2 linked regions of the Cricetulus griseus genome follow. The protein of the gene in region 1 interacts with the protein of each later gene in a pairwise test. Links are inferred from orthologs where the notes say so. Each region holds a gene or a part of one and is shown on either strand. Other genes may lie near its edges.

The links.
Region 2: the proteins of Cask (region 1) and Tbr1 interact in a two-hybrid assay, tested with the Homo sapiens proteins (2 studies listed by BioGRID and IntAct). The link is inferred for Cricetulus griseus from reciprocal best matches to the Homo sapiens genes CASK and TBR1.

What each region holds. Positions count from the first base shown.
Region 1 is NC_048604.1:119,108,538-119,112,056, forward strand, and holds part of Cask (peripheral plasma membrane protein CASK), read right to left. Parts: intron 2,922-3,519; coding exon 2,725-2,921; intron 1-2,724. UniProt on the Homo sapiens protein: Multidomain scaffolding Mg(2+)-independent protein kinase that catalyzes the phosphotransfer from ATP to proteins such as NRXN1, and plays a role in synaptic transmembrane protein anchoring and ion channel trafficking.
Region 2 is NC_048599.1:113,085,181-113,088,699, reverse strand, and holds part of Tbr1 (T-box brain protein 1), read left to right. Parts: 5' UTR 1-1,326; coding exon 1,327-2,018; intron 2,019-2,596; coding exon 2,597-2,751; intron 2,752-3,303; coding exon 3,304-3,425; intron 3,426-3,519. UniProt on the Homo sapiens protein: Transcriptional repressor involved in multiple aspects of cortical development, including neuronal migration, laminar and areal identity, and axonal projection.

The DNA.
Region 1 (3,519 bases):
TTGCCTGCACCTCCCAGTGCTAGGATTGCAAATGTGCACTACTGACATTTTTTCTTGTTCTTAAACAAGACTTCATGTAGCCCAGGCTGGCCTCAAAGTCACTATGAAAAAAAGGTTGGCTTTGAACTGATCCTCTTGTCTCCACCTTCCCAAATTCTGAGATTACAGGCATGAGCCACCACTCCCAGTTCAAAACTCCCTGCTAAGGCCACACACTAGGCAAGCATTCAATCACTAAGCTATATCTCCAGCCTTGCTAGGCAAGCATTTTACCACTGAGCTACATCTCCAGCCTTGTTTCAATAAATTAAAAACCAGTTATTAATCCTGTATTTTCAGGAGAGTCTAATTTTTTTTCCATTATGAAAGAAGGTCTTTGTAGCCCAGGCTGGTTGGACTTCACTATGTAAACTAGGTTAACCTTGAACTCCTGGAAATTTTCATCTTTAGTTCACACTATATGGGAATTCAGATAGGTACCACAATACCTGACTGACTGAATTGTTTTTCCCAATGTGAGGAAGGGTGCCTGACAGATTCTATCTTTGTTAAGCCTATGGCGTACTCTTGGTTCTCTGGCATAATAGCAAATGCTTTCTTGGTAAGATGGAGTACTCCATCTTATGGCTCTGATGAAAGGATCTTATAGAACAACTGGTTGCTGAGTTTCCCAGTACCCTTTCAGCTATTCAGTGCTTTCAAGCTCATTAAAACAAAACAAAACACCCCTTCATTTTTTTTTGCAGCATTTTTTCCTGTGCAGCAAGAAGACTGATCTGAAGAGCCTAGACCTCAGCATAGCCGAGAAGCAAACCATCTTTTTCCACTGCAGTTTCTCTAGATTGCTGCACAGGACTAAGAGCTCATAATTTATATAGCTGCTCTAAGTAGGAGGAAGCCTGGAATCTACATAATTATTGTTTTTCTTCCCTAAAATTTGTTTCCACTACAGTCTCCTGTATCCCAGGATGGCCTCAGATACTCTATGTAACTAAAGATGACCTTGAGCTTCCGATCATCCCATCTAAGCATCCCAAATGCTGGATTATAGGCCTGCACCACCACACCTGCTTTTCTCTGTGCAGGGGATCAAACCCAGGGCTTCACCACTTGAGCTACTACATCCCCATCCCACACTTGAGTATTCTGAATGAATACTCATAATATATGACAGCTCTCTAGAGACATTTTGTGAAATGGAGCATTCCTAGCAGCAGCAGCAGCAGCAACAACAACAACAACAAGATGACTTAGAAATTGCTTTCCTTCTGCTTCTGCTAAACTGTCTGCAGATCAGATTTAAAGGCAATGCCAAATGGCTTGCTGCTGTTTCTCCATGTGTAACATGATGACACCTGAAGTCCTCATCGACTTTCTAAATTCAATAATAGTTTTGGGAAACATGAGATAGTTGAAAGAGGTAATTAAGGCAAAGAGATTAACCAAGAAATCTCTTAGTGAGAAGGACTGGTGAAAAAGCAGATATTTATGGGCTTGATATTTTGATTATTTTTAAATAAGTTCAAGTATTTGTGTGTGTGTGGGGGGGTACGGGTTAGGGTGTGGCAGAAGTCCAGCTTTTGACAGGTTATGTTTTGTTACTGTTAGTATTCAGTCATCTGTACTGGCCTGCCCTTGGGGTTTTGATAGGAGACACCTTCAGCTGCAGCCACTAAGAGCACCTCCTGTGCACATTCACTACATTCCCTTTTAAAAGGGCCCTGTCCACCTCCCATCTCTGTCTCTCTCTGCTTCTCTGTCCCTCCTTCGCTCCCACCTCTCTCCTGCTGCTCCTGTCCCCAGAGGCTGTCTCCCTTCTCCCTTTCCCCCTTTCCCATTCACTTTCCCCCAATAAAAAAATCCCCTTCACCCAAGCTCTGTTGCATGGCATCTTTCTCTCATGTGCCACTTTTTAAAAAATTACAACAGTTACAAAAAACAAAACCCAGGCATTAAATTATCTTTTTTGGTATTAGATTTCTGGTAGATATTGGCCAAATACTTAAGAGGGTAAGATTACGGACATTTAATAGATGATACACACACTCTCTTCTCTCAGTTAAAAACAGTGTCTGAAATGCCTGTCTGACTTCAGCCTGTTTCACAAGTTCACAAGTTCGGCTTTCTAACAGAATAGGTCATCTTTCCCCCTCTCTGTCTCTTGTTCTGTGGATGGAACCCAGGGCATGCCAGGCAAGCATCTACTTCTGAGCCGGAAAGACCATTCTTAAAGAATGGTAAGGCAAAGAACAAAGCTTCTGATTGTCCTTTCTCCCAACGGTGGAACAGGTCTTTAAATACCCCAAGTGACACTGAGTCATGGCACTTGAAGGTTTTCTTCCTGGTGTTGTAGGATGATCACAAAATAATACAGAGGGGCAAGAGGTAGCCACGTCTGGACGAAAATGCCATTCTAGAAAGATCAGAACACTTTGTAGGAGTTGAGGGCTCTGCCCTAATGATCTGAGGCTAGTCACTCAGCTTGTCTTTGAGCCTCCTTTCCTTACCCATGTGCAGATCTAACTGGAACCAGTATCTGACTAGCAGCTGAGCATTGAGAATTCTTAGATAACTCATTTTAGGATGCGATCTTTGATCGAGGGCAGTTGAATTTTGTACAGTTAGCAAAGCAAAGGATTTATCAAGCAAGTTTTACAATACAAAACATGAAATTGAGAACTGGAAGGGAGGGAATTGTTGCATCATAAAACAACAAAAACATACCATTCCTGAAGTTCAGGAGAAGGAATGAGACCTGCAGTTCCATTTTTGGAGTTTTCCAGTTTACCCTGCCACCAGTTGTGGTCATCCTTACTAATAATCTGAATGATATCACCAACTCGGAATCGGATGCCAGCTTCTTTGCAGGGGATGAGGTCATCCTTGGCTGGATCATATTCAAATTGTGCTCTTACATAGATCTATAAAATAGGAGTTTGTAAGGAAGGAGGCCACAGTGATGTGAAGGAAAACAGCGAGCACTAATCTAATAACCACACATCCAGATTCACAACACAAATAGGACATCAGATGGTGAAACAATGTATGGAAATAGGACACAAGAAACAGGGTGCCACATCTAATAATTACAGCTTCAACTTTGAGATTTATAATACTTGTTGAGTAAATTCTGCTTTGAGTAATAGGATGTGTGTATAGTATAGAGCAGTAGGCCAACCAATTTTAAAATTGGCTATGACTATGGTGATGGTATGGATATGTTGTCATGACCATGAGGCAGCCTTTAAGGCATGGAAACTGGCACTCAGGGTGGGTGGGTTTTTATCTTAAACTAGCAAGAACTCTCTGGGTTGGTATCTTGCTGTTGGATGCTGTCATGACAACTGGCAGTGTCTCTATACACTGCAGACAAAGTTATATGCAGCTCAAACAATATTAAAAAGTTCAAAATACCACTTTATTTCTTTAGAGGAAGTTTGGCTTTGTATTTGTGCTTTACTCTTGCGGGAAAATAAAGATGAATCGGAACCCTTGCTTTGTCAATGTAACACTTGAAAT
Region 2 (3,519 bases), on another chromosome or scaffold:
CTCTCCCTCTGGATTATGTAAACATTACACACATACACACACAAGCGCGCGCGCGCGCGCGCACACACACACACACACACACACACACACACACACACACACACACACACACACGAGTTCAGTAAGATTGCTTTGACACCACTTCCACTCTGTCTCCCCAGATCAACGCTTCTAGCGAACCCATTTGCACGGGGGATTCAGCCCTCTTTCCTGGCGAGGCTTATGAACCTGTCACCAAGCCAGTGCCTCCGAAAGGAGGAAGTGCGGTGGGACTCGAAGGATACATGGCGCCCGCCCCCAGCTAGCTGCTCTTCAGATGATCTGCAACCAAGTTGGCTGATAAAATATTTAGTAACGACCCAGTAAACATGACTGCAAATACATTAAAGCACTTCAGCGCGAGGCTTATGATTATTTCAAAACTTAAAAAGGAGATCATAGATTGTCACTGTTTCTGTACCCCAGCCGGAAACCGAACCTTCCCGAGGTGGGTTGATGGGTGGGTGAGCTGCTTCGCCTCCTCTTCTCCTCTCTCCAGCATAACGCCGAGGCTTTCGGCGGCGGTTTGTTTATTTATTTATTTTAGTCGTGTAGTTTAAAGGTGGGGGAGGGGGCGTCAAGGACACGCAGTACCTACTCACAAAGCAGGCTCAGGTGTGTGAGCTATTGTGTATTAACTGGAAAAGACAGACTCTGGAAGTTTTACAGGGAGAGAAGAGGCCACCGGCTCGCGCTTTGTATACTTTGCACTTGAAATCGTTACATTCAACTGAATATTTGGCTCATTCAGATCCGAAAAGTCTCCTAGCATCATCGAATTCCCTCCTCCGCCCCTCCTCTCTAAAGAGAGAAGGGGGGTAAAAATGTTTAGTAAATTGCACATCTTTGAATCTTCCTAAAGCAGTGGTCACAAAGCTTAAAGGTGACATAACAGAGCTCACGTAAACCAACACACTTTCCCCACCCCCCAAGCCAACAATAAAATCATCCCCTTCAATTTGCCATGATCGTCGCGACCAGGAGCCAGGTGATTATCCTAATTAATGTCTATCTAATTAAATTACTGTCAGCAGCTAACCAATGGCAGGAGCCGTTTCATCGGCTGCATAAGCAGCAAGATCAAAAGTGAGCCTTTTCTGATTGCTGCATAGTGTCAATTGGCCAATCTCTTCTCCCAGGGAAAAAAAAAAAGTAAATCAAACCTTTGAGAAGCATTTGCTGGTTGAAGTGCTTTCTGTCTAGTGAGGGGTCTGTGGATTCCTAGTTTATGATAAACAGGACTTTAAAAACCAGGGACGGGAGGGCGAGCGTTCAGGTTCTAGAGCTATGCAGCTGGAGCACTGCCTCTCTCCTTCTATCATGCTCTCCAAGAAATTTCTCAATGTGAGCAGCAGCTACCCACATTCGGGCGGATCTGAGCTTGTCTTGCACGATCATCCCATTATCTCGACCACTGACAACCTGGAGAGAAGTTCACCTTTGAAAAAAATTACCAGGGGGATGACGAATCAGTCAGATACAGACAATTTTCCTGACTCCAAGGACTCACCAGGGGACGTCCAGAGAAGTAAACTCTCTCCTGTCTTGGACGGGGTCTCTGAGCTTCGTCACAGTTTCGATGGCTCTGCTGCAGATCGTTACCTCCTCTCTCAGTCCAGCCAGCCACAGTCTGCGGCCACTGCTCCCAGTGCCATGTTCCCGTACCCCGGCCAGCACGGACCGGCGCATCCCGCCTTCTCCATCGGCAGCCCCAGTCGCTACATGGCCCACCACCCGGTTATCACCAACGGAGCTTACAACAGCCTGCTGTCCAACTCCTCGCCGCAGGGCTACCCCACGGCCGGCTACCCCTACCCGCAGCAGTACGGCCACTCCTACCAAGGAGCTCCGTTCTACCAGTTCTCCTCCACACAGCCCGGGTTGGTGCCCGGCAAGGCGCAGGTATACCTGTGCAACAGGCCACTTTGGCTGAAATTTCATCGGCATCAAACGGAGATGATCATCACTAAACAGGGAAGGTAATGCTACTTTCTTGGCTGCCGCCGTTTCAGGCGTGACCCTGAGCGAGCGCACCCAAGTTGTGACCGCCAGGCAGCGACGATGTGGGGTCGGGGAGTGAAAAGGCGCTCGGGTGTGCCCTGGAGTTGGCTGGTTTTGGAAAAGGGGAAAGTGGAAGGGATAATAACCACCGTGGTGATGTTGGTGGCGGGGAGTCTGCTGTACCACTGCGGTCGGTCGGAGAGTCAGTCAGTGACTGGAGCAAGATGAAGAGCCGTGGCCGGCCGCTGCCAGGCGTTAGAACAACTCATCAAAGCTGGCCTGTGCCGACAGGTGGAGAAGCAGGTCGCCAACCCCGCTCTTCACCCTCGCACTGATACCTGCCAGCCCCCTACTGCAGAGCACTCGCTGCTGCCTCCCCGACTTTGGCCTTATGTCTTCCCCTCTCCCACTACCCTTTTCCAGATCAGCGAATATTCGTTCAGGCACACTGTGAGGACAAGTTTTGCTTGGCTATCTGGCGCCCCGCTTCTAGCATTTAATTTCTAACATTTATTTTCTTTATTCCTTGTTTTCTCTTCCTTCTTAATTTAAACAGGCGCATGTTTCCCTTTTTGAGTTTTAACATTTCTGGGCTCGATCCCACCGCTCATTACAATATTTTTGTGGATGTGATTTTGGCGGATCCCAATCACTGGAGGTTTCAAGGAGGCAAATGGGTTCCTTGTGGCAAAGCGGACACCAATGTGCAAGGCAAGTCCTTCCAATTAACACGTTTTCTTGACACTTATTTAGGTGAGAATGATTAATTAAAGCCTTTGTGGACTGGCTCGAGCGACTTTAAAAACGATCGGCCAATGACTTCCTAAAGAAGAGAGGGACAGGGGGACAGACTGAGCGGCAAGAAAGGGGAGGATTATGCAAAAGCTATTTTAATCATTCCCAGTTAATGGGAAGAAATCGCGGCTTAAAAAAATAGCCCAGCTAATAGGCCACACTGTGAAGGGGTATGTGTGTGTGTGTGTGTGTGTGTGTGTGTGTGTGTGTGTGTGTGTGTGTGATGTAGTACAGAGTACAGAGTTAGGGCTGGACAGTAAACCTATTTTAATAATCCCCAGTTAATAGAAGAAAGTATGTCCCCCCCCAAAAAAAAACAGCTAATGGACTTCACTGTGTAGTAAGGTGTGTGTGTGTGTGTGTGTGTGTGTGTGTGTGTGTGTGTGTGTGTGTGTGTGTTTCATGTGCTAAGGAGTTGGGACTGGGCAGTGCCCAGAACATATGTAAACAAGCTATTTCTTTATCAAGGAAACCGGGTCTACATGCATCCGGATTCCCCCAACACTGGGGCTCACTGGATGCGGCAAGAAATCTCTTTTGGAAAATTAAAACTAACCAACAACAAGGGAGCATCAAACAACAATGGGCAGGTCAGTCTCTCTCTCTCTCTCTCTCTCTCTCTCTCTCTCTCTCTCTCTCTCTCTCTCTCTCTCTCTCTCTCACACCCTTCTTTAGTTTACAGCA